4 linked regions of the Canis lupus familiaris genome follow. The protein of the gene in region 4 purifies or fractionates together with the protein of the main gene of each other region. This does not show direct contact. Links are inferred from orthologs where the notes say so. Each region holds a gene or a part of one and is shown on either strand. Other genes may lie near its edges. The genes, in order: ANKRD44, PPP6C, ANKRD52 and PPP6R1.

The links.
Region 1: the proteins of PPP6R1 (region 4) and ANKRD44 purify together in Homo sapiens (co-immunoprecipitation; 5 studies listed by BioGRID and IntAct, counting the BioPlex papers as one, with this or other methods). This does not show direct contact. The link is inferred for Canis lupus familiaris from reciprocal best matches to the Homo sapiens genes PPP6R1 and ANKRD44.
Region 2: the proteins of PPP6R1 (region 4) and PPP6C purify together in Homo sapiens (affinity purification with mass spectrometry; 11 studies listed by BioGRID and IntAct, with this or other methods). This does not show direct contact. The link is inferred for Canis lupus familiaris from reciprocal best matches to the Homo sapiens genes PPP6R1 and PPP6C.
Region 3: the proteins of PPP6R1 (region 4) and ANKRD52 purify together in Homo sapiens (co-immunoprecipitation; 3 studies listed by BioGRID and IntAct, with this or other methods). This does not show direct contact. The link is inferred for Canis lupus familiaris from reciprocal best matches to the Homo sapiens genes PPP6R1 and ANKRD52.

Annotation. Positions count from the first base shown.
Region 1 is NC_049258.1:6,563,121-6,566,683, forward strand, and holds part of ANKRD44 (serine/threonine-protein phosphatase 6 regulatory ankyrin repeat subunit B), read right to left. Parts: intron 1,321-3,563; coding exon 1,120-1,320; intron 800-1,119; coding exon 712-799; intron 1-711. UniProt on the Homo sapiens protein: Putative regulatory subunit of protein phosphatase 6 (PP6) that may be involved in the recognition of phosphoprotein substrates.
Region 2 is NC_049230.1:57,997,928-58,001,490, forward strand, and holds part of PPP6C (serine/threonine-protein phosphatase 6 catalytic subunit), read left to right. Parts: intron 1-1,056; coding exon 1,057-1,122; intron 1,123-2,260; coding exon 2,261-2,402; intron 2,403-3,563.
Region 3 is NC_049231.1:925,246-929,498, forward strand, and holds the start of ANKRD52 (serine/threonine-protein phosphatase 6 regulatory ankyrin repeat subunit C), read right to left. Parts: upstream 2,834-4,253; coding exon 2,807-2,833; intron 2,495-2,806; coding exon 2,411-2,494; intron 1,953-2,410; coding exon 1,874-1,952; intron 1,667-1,873; coding exon 1,596-1,666; intron 545-1,595; coding exon 344-544; intron 1-343. UniProt on the Homo sapiens protein: Putative regulatory subunit of protein phosphatase 6 (PP6) that may be involved in the recognition of phosphoprotein substrates.
Region 4 is NC_049222.1:103,182,630-103,186,192, reverse strand, and holds part of PPP6R1 (serine/threonine-protein phosphatase 6 regulatory subunit 1), read right to left. Parts: intron 3,270-3,563; coding exon 3,157-3,269; intron 3,052-3,156; coding exon 2,938-3,051; intron 2,344-2,937; coding exon 2,181-2,343; intron 2,096-2,180; coding exon 1,943-2,095; intron 1,793-1,942; coding exon 1,658-1,792; intron 1,293-1,657; coding exon 1,228-1,292; intron 1,139-1,227; coding exon 1,023-1,138; intron 927-1,022; coding exon 841-926; intron 735-840; coding exon 645-734; intron 574-644; coding exon 476-573; intron 1-475. UniProt on the Homo sapiens protein: Regulatory subunit of protein phosphatase 6 (PP6). May function as a scaffolding PP6 subunit. Involved in the PP6-mediated dephosphorylation of NFKBIE opposing its degradation in response to TNF-alpha.

The sequences.
Region 1 (3,563 bases), on a different chromosome or scaffold from region 4:
TTCAAATTGCAGAATGTTCTCCAGTTAGAAACACAAAGGAAGGATCTCAGTTCTTTGTTCCTCACCAATCTACACTGAGAATAAACTCTATGAGGTCTGTCATGTATCAGTGGTATTTGTGCCAACAAAAGTGAAAAAGAAAAACACAGCAATGTAACCTCTTCCTTCATTTCTCCCACCCAAGCTGGCAGAAGCAAGAACCGCAAACTTCAGCTTCGTCGGCTGTAGAGTAGCAGGATAATCCATGGTGACCCTTGTCACTTCAACCTACACAACAGCCAGGGGGCTTTCCTTCCTTCCTTTTTGTTTCTTTCCAAAATATTTATAAATAAAAGGACAAATGGCATTCATGTCCTTGCTTTGCTAGCCAGTCCTTTTTCTTTTTAAATACTTCATTTTGCTGCCATAACAAGTTAGAAGAAGCACCGTTTGTGCTGCTTTCCAGTCCAGATTGGAGCACATTCAATGAGGTCCAGGCCATGATTCATCCCTCCTCCTCTCTGTGGGGTAAATAAACCTCTGACAGAGCAACTGTCTAACGAGAGCACTCAACGTATGCCAGTAAAATGGCCCAAATCTTAACTCAGTTAGATCCCAACCTTGGAAAGAAGTCAGGCTTGCCCAAGAGAAAGCCTACACGCTTAGCAACAGGCTCACAGCTTCTTTAGTTACAGTTGTTTGCATTTTTCTTTCCATTCATGGAATTCTTACCCATATATGCCGCCCAGTGCAGAGCACGCCGGTCCTTCTTATCAAATGCGTTGATGTTTGCTCCTTTGGCCAAGAGTAGATTGACCATCTGAAAGAAAACCAACATGCAGATAATCTGAGTCAAATTAACATCCAATATAAAGGCAGGTCAGTGACTTGGAATTCAAACACAGTAGGAAGCTGATGTCACAGACAACCCCATGGCACGTGTGTCAGAGGAAAAGGCCAAGGTGACAGCTCCTTTTTCAACCCCTGGCTGTACAGTTAAAACTAGCTGTCGCTGCCTAAGGTTGGGTGTGTGGATGGTAGCATCATGCTCTCTGAAAGCCTCAGCGTAAGCCTGGCTTCCACTTGGGGCCCAGAGAGTCTGTAGGGAGAATGCTTGGCGCCAGTGATGAGGGCACTCACCTCCACGTGGCCATTCAGAGCAGCGTGGTGCAAGGCGGTGCGCCCACCTCGGTCGGAGACATTGACGCTGCTCAGCAGGGGAATGATCACTTCTGCACACTTGACAGCCTTGTTGGCAGCTGCCACGTGGAGTGGCGTCTGCCAATTCTTGTCCCTCGCGTTGACGTCAGCCGAGTGCTTAATCAATACTTGCACTGCTTCCTACAACAGAGGCAGAGTTGGCAGGGGTCACTGACAGAGGCTCAATCAACACTGATTGGATAGAAGACGCTTCACTAGACCCTGGAGCCACAGGAAGGGAAGGCTCTGTGCCCTCACAGGCTGGCTCAAGATGTAGGTTCTTCTGAGAAAAGCAAGGTAATATGTGATAAAGATCGAAAGAGTGGCACAGACAAAAGCAGATCCATTTATCTTTCTGTGTTAGGCCAAGAGCCCTGGCACAGCTTTAAAACCAAGTAAGCGGGATCCCTGGGTGGCGCAGCGGTTTGGCGCCTGCCTTTGGCCCAGGGCGTGATCCTGGAAACCCGGGATCGAATCCCACTTCGGGCTCCCGGTGCATGGAGCCTGCTTCTCCCTCTGCCTGTGTCTCTGCCTCTCTCTCTCTCTCTCTCTCTCTCTCTGTGACTATCATAAATAAATAAAAATTAAAAAAAATAAAAATAAAACCAAGTAAACTTTCTAAGTGTAAGGTTTCCTACTAGGGTGTAAAGTACCCTTAGGACAAATGAGAGCACCCCGTGCAAGTGCACACCTGGGGTAAAATATCCATAAGTCAAAAGGCCCCCAAAGATCATCTAAACTTGGAGGTGCTTGTCAATAAGCCTCCATCTTCCAAAGCCAAAGGCCTCAAAGCCCTTTGGACGTTCTTGGATCGATTTATAAATCTTTGTCTCCGCCAACATCTTAACCCTCACTGTGCGATCAATAGCAGTCAAGGGAAGATGTCTATTACTACCTCAACTTGAAGCTACAAAATTGTTCTGTGTTTCCCCCAACCTCTTCCATGTTATAGTGGGGCAACTTCTTTTCTACTATTGAGTTCCCTCACCTTTCCTGAGACTTACACTTTTTATTTTCCTTCCGTTGACCTAATCAGCTTATAAGCCTCTTGAACTATTACTCTCAACCTTGGCTATATAATGGAATCACCTGAGAAGCTCTTAAAAATACAGATGGCTGGGGTGCCTAGGTGGCTCTGACTCTTGATCTGACTCTTGATCTCAGCTCAGGTTTTAATCTCAGGGTCATGATTTTGAGCCCCTTGTTGGGCTCTACACTGGGCTCCAAAGCCTACTTAAAAAAAAAAAAAAAATACAGATGGCTGGTGCCACACCAGAGATTCTAACTGGCCTCAGAATTTCTGTAAAGCTTCTGTAACTTTGTTGTATGGCTAGGATTGAGGACACTCTTCTGTTCCACCGAGAAAAGGATATAGCTTCTCTTAAGATGGGAGTGACTGTTGGTTGTTTCTCTTTACTTCTAGAGATATCCCTAGAACCAGTTACTGGGACTCCTTTATAAACATCTTCTCAATGTGGCATCAATAAACCAATGAAAGGCAATGAAATGTGCCACACTCCTGCCACCCTTCATGGATCAAGAACTTACCCCTGTCCACCATATTCCTCACAGGCCTTAACTATCCAATCTACTTTATCATGCAGATACATACAGGTGCTCAGATAGTAAATCATTTAAAATCTTAAGATTAACATTTGTATCAGGGACATAAATAACAAAATAAGAAGAATGTTCTATGCATCAGTAGTAGCAACACATTGAGATGAATGGCTAACATGGACAGTAGAATGAGAGCAAAAAAATTAGTTTTGTAAATTAGAGAATACAGTTTAAACATAGTGTGATGCTCCATTTAGATGCCATAAACAATATACTCATAGGGCCCAAGCAAACAAATAATTCTTTAAAACTATCAAAAAGGAAAAAAAAAGATATATGTCACCTATCCTCAGCAAGACAATAAGGTAATGACTACTAAGTAACATTCCTGGAGCTCATATTAGAGTGAAACGTGTATGTGTATTCTTAACATACACTTGTGAATAAATATTAGCCAGACTCTAAAAGCTAGCAAGCTCTAAAAGCTAGCTGTGTGAACAAAAAACAAACAAAAGTAAAGCTAAACCACCATATAAAAGTTAAGATTTAAATAAGAAAAAAAATGATATTTTTGTTTAACTTTGTTTTTTTTTTTTAAAGCTCTTATTCATTTATTCATGAGAGACACAGAGAGACAGGCAGAGACATAGACAGAGAAGCAGGCCCCTTGCAGGGAGCCCAGTGCAGATCTCGATCCCCAGACCCAGGATCACGCCCTGAGCCGAAGGCAGATGCTCAACCACTGAGCCACCCAAGCGTCCCATTTTAGTTTAACTTTGGCCTCAAAAATTGTGAGGTTTCTGTAGATACATACAATCTATTGA
Region 2 (3,563 bases), on a different chromosome or scaffold from region 4:
TTGCTTGCTAATTTTAAGAAGGTAGGAAAATTTTATTTAAACTTCTAAAGTTTTTTTTTTAACTTCAAGCAAGTAATAACTTCAGATTTATGAAATATTGTTATAAAGGGCAGTGTTTTATTTCTTTGAGTAGTTAACATTTAAATTTCAGTTTTGTTCACTATGACTAAGATTCTTGTATGTTTTAAGTGTTAGAAATTGAATAATTTTATTTTCAAGTATAAAAGATGATTGTATAGGAAGTGATTAGTTATAGTTGGTACAGTAAATTATAGTAAATTCCTTTAATCCAAAATCCTTAGAAAAACTGAAGTTTTCTTTAGGAATTAGGATTAAGATAATCTAGTTGACTGAAGTTACCACATGTACAATTTGTCAATTACTAATTTTCAGTCACATAGAAAATGATGAAATATACAGTTCTTTTTTACTGATTATTGAGAAGACATTCCATAGCTATAGAGCCTCCAAAGTAGAATGTGGGAGGGTAGGTTGATCTGCTTTTCATGGTAACTGTGAAGTGTCGTGTAAATTCATTCTTTGAAAAAAATTCTTACCCACTTGCTTCCTTATCTTTTGTCTCATTAAAATAGATGCTGAGTATGGGTGGGGTGGTTAGCTTAGCTTATTAACAAGTTAGATAATTGATCAGTTATTTCAAATTCTCAAGTGATAGGGCACCTGGCTGACTCAGTCAATGGAGCATGTGACTCTTGATCTTGGGGTCATGAGTTCAAGCCTCATGTTGGGCATAGAGATTACTTAAAAAAATTCTAGATGACAAGATAAATGAAAGAAATTTGAGGGAGAAGGCCTATAACATTAATGATCTAGGAATGACCTTATTGGTAATTGTGAGATTTATTTTAGTGCTTCTATTAGGCTTGAGAGCTCTGTGCTTGGCAGTTTTGCTTACACTTTATTTCTTTTTATAAGTGTCAGTATTTCAGGCCTTCCTAATTACATGCTCCTTTACACATTTCGCTCTCACTTTTATTATTTTACTCCTTTACAGGAATTTGTAATTAATCAGCATATATTGACTTTCTTTTATAGTTTTATGACCTTTGCGAACTATTCAGAACTGGAGGTCAGGTTCCTGACACAAACTACATATTTATGGTATGTAAACCCACATGATACCAAATACTTATTTAAAATGGAAAGCATCTGATTTATTACATGGAAATTATATAACAATTTCTTTGTCATATGACAATCACTTTGTAAATATATGAAAAGGTGATGCTATACTTTTCTACATTTTGCCATCTTGTCTGGTTGAAAATGATTGCTTTAGTAAATTGCCATATGCATAGGACTGGGTTCTAGGCATAAGTAATGGTTGGCAGAAAAATAACCCAGAACCTCCCAGGATTAAGGCACAGAGCTTTAATTTACTGTTATTTTATCATATCTTCTTGAGCATTCATTTTCATCTGTTATCAATTTGTAGATTGATGAATATATGAACATACATATTTGCTATTAAGGTGGATATTTGCTTACTTTCCTTTTGGAATGTCATGTTACTATTGAATTTTTTATGAATCCTATCATTTTCTTTCTTCTAGAGGTTTGTGTGTCACTTTCCTATTCTTTGAGCTGTTTTCCTATTGATCTAACAACATTGTCCCAAATAAAATACTAATGGGAAGTGTAAGTAGTATGGCTTCACAAGCAGTTGTTAAATACACAACTGAACCTAAAACACTAATTAAGGTATATACTTTTATAAAAACACTATTTCTTCAAGTTGTTAGGTTTTTTTATATAGTTACAATGATTTTTGGGATGCCTGGCTGGGTCAGTCAGGAGAGTGTGTGACTTGATCTCAGGGTCATGAGTTTGAGCCCCACTTTGGGTGTAGAGATTACTTAAACATTTAAAAATAATAATTAAATGATTTTTGAAATTCATTAAAAAATTTTGGATTCACATGTGACCTTTTTGAAACACCTGCTAATGTAGGTAATAGAGAATTAGAAAAATGGTGGTTTTTCAGGGAAGATCCTTCAGAGAATTGGATAGCAGGTTCCTGTAGGCCTCCTGAATCATAAGACTGGCACACTTAGTAGAGACTGCTTATTTACTTCGATTTGAATTTTTTGTTAAAACCCAATTTCCAAATAAATCAATGTATGACCCTTCAATTTTGTTATTTTTTTTTTTTTGCCATGTCTCTGAGTTTGTACACCTTGGTATAATTTAAAAAATACATTGTTGCTATTATTTCTAACTGTAAACTTTTACTTTACAGGGTGATTTTGTAGACAGAGGTTACTATAGTTTGGAGACCTTCACTTACCTTCTTGCACTAAAGGCTAAATGGCCTGATCGTATCACACTTTTGCGAGGAAATCATGAAAGTAGACAGATAACACAGGTGTATGGATTTTATGGTAAGACTTTCTATTTCTCTGATTCTCTGAATATTGCTTTCCTTTCCTCTTTGGGAAAAAAGCCATACAAGTCATACATGTGCTTTATATAAAGTTAGAAATATAAATCATCTTTTTCCACTTTTTAACTCCTCCTCTTCCCCCATTCAACTGAGAACCTTACCATGGAGAGAGAACTGTTCTTAATTTTTTGATGTACATCATCCTGGATCATTGCCCTAAAGTGTAGCCCTCAGTTTACATCATTGGAATCATCAGGGGTACTTGTTAAACATGTACATTGCTGGGCCCCCACTGAAAACCTGTTGGAGTGGGAATCCTAGAATCTGCTGAAGGTAAATGTTCTGCACTTGAAAGTTGAGAACCTATTATATATTATATGTATATGTGTGTGTATGTGTGTGTTTATAAACATATTTGTGTGTGTACATACCTGCTTTTTTCACTTAATGCTGTGACCAGCCTTTCTTTACTTCATTGACATTATTTTTATAGTTGCATTATATTACACTGTATGGATGTACTATAATTGATTAAATCAGTACCTTTAACATTGGACATTGGAGTTGGGTTTTTTTTTTTTTTTTTGGAGTTGTTTTTAAGTTGCTGACATATATAATATTGTATGTGTATAACATATATAATTATGTATATATATGTGTGTGTATCCATATGTTCCATCCAGAGAGTGCTAGGACCTCAGGGGTCAGAAACAGAACTTAGCCATTAAAAGCAAAATATATCTGCTTCTATAAAACTTGTATATGGTTGAAAGTTTTAAAAAATGAAGTTAGGAAAAAAAATTAGGTTACAAAGCTCTTTGAAGGAGATAGAGAGCAGGACTGTTGAGGTTATTAACATGAATTTTCCTTAAGCTTAATTAAGGCATATATTGAGATATTTGAAAATATTAATCTCATAACCCTTTAGTTTCAGATTTTATATTTTGGATTCTCTTATGTCATTATAAAGATGAGCTAAACTCTTATTTGTAAGCCACTATCAATTACTAAATTGAGAAATTTTGATAATTTATTATTATATGTTAATAGTAATTGATAAGTTAGATGGCTAATATTTGTCCCCTTTTTACAAGTTACTTTTGATTTTCATTCACAAAATAACAAGTACCATTTAAAATAAAAGTTTTTGATTCTTTTG
Region 3 (4,253 bases), on a different chromosome or scaffold from region 4:
TTAATTTTTATTTATTTATGATAGTCACACAGAGAGAGAGAGAGGCAGAGACATAGGCAGAGGGAGAAGCAGGCTCCATGCACCGGGAGCCCGACGTGGGATTCGATCCCGGGTCTCCAGGATCGCGCCCTGGGCCGAAGGCAGGCGCCAAACCGCTGCGCCACCCAGGGATCCCCAAGTCAAGAATTTCAATCTAACCCAACCATTCATTTGATCTTGAGCCCAAGTGTCTATATAGTCATCCAGGCCGCTTCTCCCAGACCTGATGGCCCAGAAGCAGAGGATGGTGAGTGGGAAGGGAAGGCACGGCACTAGGCTGGGCATGAATGGGAGCAGTCCTCACCTCGAGATGCCCACTATGCACTGCATGGTGCAGGGCACTACGCCCGCTCCTATCGGCCACGTTGAGGCTACTCAACAGGGGTGCCAGAGCCTCAGCACACTTCGTGGCCCGGTTGGCGGCAGCCACATGCAATGGTGTCTGCCACAGCTTGTCCCGGGCGTTCACATCTGCTGAATGTGCCAGCAGCAGTCCCAGCACCTTCTGTTAAGGAGCGGGGGGAGGTAAGAGAGAAGACAGAGGGGCAGTGGGAGGTAAAACAAATAGTGGAGGGAAAAACAGGTCAGCATGACACACACAGCCCCAGCTCCCAACTCCCCAGCACAGAGTCTTTTCCCATTTTTCGTACATAGCCTGTCAATACGTACTTCCCATCTTCCGAATCTTCTTAGAGTCTAAAAATCTTCCCAGACCTTGCTGAGGAAAGCATGGTCCCTTCCTTTTCCTCAAGCCACCTGGTATCACTCCCCAGCCAGACTCTGAAAATCTTCACCCATGCACACAGCTACTACCAAGCAAATCCACATATAAAGAGGATTCCAATCCCTCACTACTTTTCACTAGGAAAAATACACACTCCTGCTACCTTAATGCCCCGAATACCCGCCTTCAGTCCTTCAATAGGCACCAAAATCATTTCTACTACCTCAGTAAGCAAACAGATGCTGGTCCCCCTCTAAAACCCAGGCTAAAAGGTCCCTCCTAATCACAACCCACCCCATTCCCATTGGCCTCAGTCCCTCACCCTGCTGGTCAAAGCCAGGGAACTGACCATCAAGCCAAGAGAGAGGTCTCCTCTTCCCTGCTACCCAGGGTTGATGGACCCAATTGATGAGACACATGTGACCCCTATGCTGTCAACTTTCAGGCTGCTTGAGGGGCAGGGATGCAACAGATCACTACCCTCAGCCCCTCCATCCCTCCATCACAAGGTAAGAAATCTCAGTGCTCAGAGGGGGATCAGACTCCAAGGTGGCCCCCCAGGGAGAGATGAGTCACTCAGGCCTGGCAGCAGGGCCCCCTGCAGTCTGCCAGCCCAGTGTTAAGCTCTCCCCTGACGTCACATCAGCTGGCAACACTCAGCTCCCCCTCACCAGCCAGTTCTAGGGGTGGGAGGGAGGGGCCAAGGTCTAGTCTCCTGACCTAGGGGTAGACCAGCTGGTAAGGCAGAGAGCTGAGGCTCTCGAATCCTTCACTTCCACCTTTAACCAACTCATCCTCTTTGAAAGGGTGAAAAGGCACAGGAGGCTGGTACCTCATTTCGGGAAGCAGCAGCACGATGAAGAGGGGTCAGCCACAGTGTGTCCTTAGCATTGACATTAGCACCTGTGGGGATACAATTTCCTCTTTCAGTGGGAGAGGGACAGCAACGGGGAAGGAAAGCCGTAACCAGGCCAAGGAATATGGATAGAGATGGAATGCCTCTCGCACATCAAGGTCCAGAGAGCAATGCTTGGATGGGGGGATGGAGGGGAGGGCTCTTCCTTCAGGTCCCCTCCCCAGGAGCCACACCTTCCAGCTCCCCCCTTTCACCTGACATCAGTAGCAACTGGAGGATGGGGACATCGCCTACGTAGGCAGCAGCATGCAATGGGGTCCGCCTCTCTTGGTCCTGGGAAGGCAGAAAAGAGCAGCAGCTGCAGGGATGGGTGAACTACCAGGGACCCCAGCCCAAGCCTTAGAGCTCCAGGCCCTTCCGCCCTCTTCCCACAGGTTCTGCAGCCTCCTAGAGCCCAGTCCTGGGTCAAAACAGGCACCTAGCGCGGGCGGCGTCAGGGAGTCAGGAGTCAGGGGTCAGGGCCCTGGGGCTGGGAGGCGGCCTCCCTCTTCCAGGAGGGGTGGGGGCGCTGCAGACACTGCTGGTTCGGAAGCGACCGCCGCTGCTGGGCATCCTCGGCGCCACTGAGGCTTCCAGCCTGACCTGCTCCCCGGGTCCGCCGCGGAGCCGGCGCCCACCCCGGGGGAGCGCGCTGCGGCCTCGTCGGCGTCGCGGAGCCGCCCGCTGCGGGGCGGGGACCGGCGCGGCAGGGCCCGGGCGCCGGCTCCGCATCCTCCCCGATCCCAGCTCACCAGCACGTTGATGTTCTCCTTCTGCGAGAGCAGGGAACGCACTTCCTCCACATCGCGGCTAAAGATGGCCTGGACCAGGGGCGGCTGCGGGAGAACCGGCGCTCAGCCAGCGGGCCGCGGCGAGCCGGCCGGGGGCGCGGGGGCACCTGGCCCGCCGGGGGGCGGCGGGGCGGGGCGGGGCTGCGCGCCGGGGGCCGGGCGCCGGGGGCCCGCCGCGCTGGCCGGTCGCCAGGCCCCCAAGGACGCCGGCGCGCTTGAGGGGAGCGCGGCGCGGGGCGGGGCGGCAGCCGCGGGGGCCCCGGGCTCGGGCCCAGCCTAGGCCGCACATCCCCGGGCTCGCGTGGCGGCGGCGCCGGGCCCCGGAGGGACGCGGCGGGCAAGGACGGGCGGGCTGACCTGGTCCGTGATGCTGAGGATCCCCATGGCCCGGCCCGGGCTCCGTCCGCATCGAGCTCCCGGCGGCGGCGGCGGCGGCTCCACCGGGGACACGGGGCGGCCCAGGCGGCGGCTGCGGCGGCGGCTGCGGGGAGAGCGCGGCCCCGCCTACCGGGGGGCGGGCGAGCGGGAGCCCGCAGCGCTCCCTGGCGGCGGAGCTGGGCCGCGGCCCCCGCCCCCAGCCCCGCCCCGCCCCGCCCCCTCCCGCGGGCTGCGGCCGCCGCGGGCCCCCCCCGCGCTCCGCCGCCCGCTGCCGCCCGACGCCCGGGCCCAGGTCCTCCCGGGGCTGAGCGGCCTCGCGGCCTGGGCCCCTGGGCGCGCCCCCGGCCCCGCGGCGCCCCCGCGGGAGGTAACGCCTCCCGCCGGCGGTTACGTGCCCCAGGTCCGCCGCGGACCTGGGGACCCACGGGCGTGGCGACCTGGGGTCACGGCCGGCAGTGGCCCCGGGGACGAGGAGGACGCACATCTTCTCCGGCGGTGGCAGGACTCGGGAGAAGGGAAGCAGCCGAGCGCTGACTGCGGAGAGGACCCCCGGGGGCCCCGGGGCGCCGCACCCCCGCACGCAGGCGGGGCGGCCGGCGGCTGAAGAGGGCCCCCGAGGCCCGCAGAAGGGGCGCCTCCCCAACTCCCAGTTAGTCCACGGCCGGGTTAGGGCGGTAGGGCGGCCCAGTGGCTTCTCCCCAGAAGAGGGTGGGTGCTTTCCCTCCTGCGCTGGAGAGGCCAGAGGGCAGCCAATCAGGCAAGATACTGATGGAGGTCATCCCAGCTCAGAACAGGAAAAGAGGGGAGAAAGCTGGATATTGAAAAATTGGTGCAATTTATAAAAGGTGATCCAAGGTCCTGCTTAGAGCTCAACAATTCAATCTGTGTGCTCTAAGAGGGAGCACGTTGAGGAAGAAGGGCCGCAAGTTGGCCCCCTGTCAAGGCATACGGATAAAAGCTCCCCTTTCCTCTCTAACCAATCTGTACCCTTCATTACCTTTGGTATCTTGATTCCCACCGGAAAGATACAGACACTGATAACTGAGAGAGAAATGGTTTTCTCTCTTTCCTGGAGAGAGAAATTAGGGAACAGGGAATGAGGAATGAGAGGGGAAAATACCTATCATTAGATACCTTCAGCAGTTTTTGAGGGACTCCCAGGTGGCTCAGTGGTTGGACATCTGCCTTCAGCCCAGGGGTGATCCTGGGGTCCTGGGATCGAGTCCCGCATCAAGCTTCCTTGGATGGAGCCTGCTACTCCCTCTGCCTGTTTCTCTGCCTCTCTCTCTGTCTTTCATGAATGAATAAATGAAATCTTAAAAAAAAAAACTATTTTTGTATACTTCTACCGTATTGAAAAAAATTTACATTACTTAAAACTTAACCTATTCCTCCAAGAAATCTTCCTCGGTTAACAGGGTTTTTC
Region 4 (3,563 bases):
CCGAGCTCCCCTCCAGCTTTGCTGCCATAAACTTGCTCATCAATTTGCAAAACGGTAGAAAACTCTTATTTTTTTTTTCTGACTACAAAAAGAACAGATGCCTGTGGTAGAAAACTTGGTAACTAAAGAAGAAAGTTGATGACTGCAACACCAAGTTAAATTGCTATTGCTCAACAAAGCAGCTGTAGAAGTCACCGAAAGCTCAAGTTCTCCTGTAAGCACAGGGCCTGGTGGAGGGCTGGGGGCTGCTCTGGCATCAAGGGGTCATCCCACCAGCTACACACGCAGCTGACTCCCCAAGGAGGGGACAGAGGAGCCCCAGCTGGTCGCTCCCCATGCTGAGCCCAAGTGCCAGGACTGGTGGGACCAAGGAGGACGCAGGAAGCCTGGCAGAAAGTGCCACACGGCCAGCGAGTACTCGTGCTCCCACCTGCTGTGTTCTCACCCCTGCTCGCCTACAGAAGAGCACACTCACTTCACGCTTTCTTCCTGCTCCCCAAACTCCTCATCATTGAAGCCAAAGTGGTCGATGAAGGCTGAGGTCATGCGCTGCATCTGGAAGTCCATGAAGGCCTGTGGAGGAGCAGTGGTCAGGGATGGGTGGGGCCAGGCAGAAAGGGGCAGGCCCCTGGCCCCCAGCCCACCTGCTGCAGTACTGCCTCCTCGGGGAAGTTGAACTCCTTGAGCCGGTCGTCCTCATCATCGCTGGAGGAGTGCAGGTGGTGCGTGCTCACCTGGGGCATGGGGGCAGGCAAGGGGTGAGGGCCAGGATGGCAGGGTGCAGCCTCAGGGAGGTGCAGGTGGAGAACAGAACCGCGGCAGAGAGCTGCGGTGCCTTACCAGGTCCACCATGTTCTTCTTGTTCGTCTCGGCCAGGGGTCCGGCCACAAAGGCCTCCCACCGCTCCTGCTGCTCACCCGGCAGTTCTGTTCAGCGCAAAAGAGACAGGACGTGAGGCCCCCCGCCACTACAGCCAGCAGCCCTGCCCCCAGCCCTGGGGCGACACCCTCCCGGACCCTCACCCTTCAGCAGCTGCCCCAGCTGCTCAGCATTGGGCCCCTTCTCCGTGTTCTGCACCAGGGCGTTGGCCAGTCTCGTCAGGTGGCCCATGTAGCCTTTGCGGGGGCCCCCGGTAGACCTGGGCAAGATCGGAGGCCGCAGCTGGACATGGGCCCATGCGCCCCCGCCCCGCCCTCCCCAAGGGCAAGAAGTCCAGGGGCCGCTCACTGCACAAGGTCGTTCTCTTCCCAGGATGTCAGGATGCGCTCCACCAGGCGGCACTGCTGCAGGAGCTGTGAGGGCAGTGGAGACAGTGGGGGCACCGGGGACATGGGGGCAGGGCCAGGACGTGCCCCTCCCAGCACCCAGGGGGATTTACAGAGGAGTGGGAGGGGGGGTGGGGGCCATGTCCAAGGCCCTAGGCTATAACCCAGGAAGTACCTCCCCTAGAGTAGCATCTGTCACCCCAGAGGACACTGCTGCCCCCTGAGGGCTCCCGTCTGCACCCGCCTGCACATCATCCTCCATTTCTCCCAGACAGACCTAAGGACAAGGCTGAGCCCCTGGCCCCCAGCATGTGAGGCCACCTAGAGAAGGCAGAGGGATACAGTGGGTGACCCACAGGAACAGAGTGGGGTACCCGGGAACCCCAGCTTACATGTTTCACAACGGGATTTGGGACAGGCATCTCAAGGCTGCTGTCGGAAGGAGGCCCAGCACTGAGCATGGCACTCACACAGAACTCCACTTGGGCATGCAGGAAGTTGTTGAACATGTAGTGGAAGAAGAGGTCCTGGGGGGCGGGCAGTGGAGGCTGGCATGGAAAGGCCCCTCATCCACCCCTGCCCAGGGCCCCCTCCACCCCCTCATCCCCATCCCGCCCTTCCCCACCCTGCCCGGGCCCTCCACCCCACCCCACCCCACCCCACCCCCTTCTCCGCACCAGCATGGTGTTGGGCACATCCAGTGCCAGGAGCTCCTGCGTCAGGGCTGGGTCGTTGGCGCTCAGAGCGCTGGCCAGCAGCTTGACCACATGCAGCCGAGTATTGCCCAGAGGCGGGGCCAGGTTGCCCCAGGTAGTACGCAGTGGCTCCAGCTACAGGCACATGGGAGGCTCAGTGCCACCTAGAACCGTGGGGCTGCCCTCCCTGCCACCCTACATCCTTGGACTCCCAGCCTACCTCAGGGGGCTCAAGCAGAAGCTGGTGGAAACGGCTGAGCCGTGGGCGCAGGGCGTGCAGGGCGCCCACACTGGACATGCTGCTATCCAGGGTCGCCTGGGCCAGAAGCTCCAGCTGCCCATCCACACTGCTAAAGAAGTTGTTCACGGTCACAGACTCGGACCTGCAGGGGGGACAGGATGCAGGGCCTGTGTGCACGCATATGCATATGTATGGCACATGTGGAAGGGAGAGACAAGCTGCTTCCTGTGGAAGTACAGCGTGCACGGGGGGAGGGGGGGGGATGCCCAGGGATCATGGGCCTATAGGGCCCTGGACTCGGCCAGTCAGCTCAAAGCTACAGGTGGTTTACATGGCCTCAGACAGGAACTGAGAACTCCTCTCCCAAGACCCTAAGTGGTGGGATGCCTGGGTGGCCCAGCGGTTGAGCGTCTGCCCGACTTGGGGTGTGATCCCAGAGTCCAGGATTGAGTCCCACATCGGACATCGGGCTCCTGCGGACAGCCTGCTTCTCCCTCTACTTGTGTCTCTGCCCCTCTCTCTCTCTCTCATAAATAAATAAAATATTTTAAAAATACAAAAAAAAAAAAAAAAAAAAAAAAAAAAAAAACCAGATTCTTTAAAAAAAGACCCTAAGTGGCCACCAAGAAGGGGATGCTGCTTGTAGATGACAAGTCCCCACACCTTCACCCCTAAAAAGAAGGAGAGGGTCTCTGGGGGATGGCAATAGCTGCCTGGGGAGGCAGGGCCCCCTCACCTTGGCCTTCGGGGTTCCAGCAGGGTCAGGAGCACCTGGATCCCGCTCACAATGACAGACTGGCTCTGCTCTCCCTCCAGCATGTTGCTCAGGAGCTGTTCAATCGTCTCCTGCCTGGAGCAGGGGTCGGGACAGGGGATGAGGGTGGGGTCGGGGTGGGGGTCATGGTGAAGGGCCCCGGACATCTTCCCGCCCTAGGCCTTGGAACCACAAACCCACTTCTCCAGGGTGGTCAACAGCTGGTCGGGCTCTAGGCTGTCTTGGACCTGGATCATCTGCTCCCGGCTCAGGCGGATGATGTCGCACAGGGATTGGGATGCATTGGAATGTTGCTGGGGAGGCAAAGAGAGAGCTGAGGATGCCAGCCCAGCACCTGTGCCCTTCATGTCCTGGAGCTGACCGCCCCACCCTTAGGAAGAGGAGTGGAGGATCACACAGACAGGGAGACACAAGTGCCAAGGCAAGGAACACAAGGCATCAAATATCAGGAAAGAAGACGGTGAGAACCTGGGAAACCAGGAAAGTTTCCACACCATTTGCTGTAGCCAAAGGAGGGAACAACCACGAGGTCTACCAACTGGTGAGCACACAAGCTACTGTGACTCGTCCATGCACCAGCACTCCAC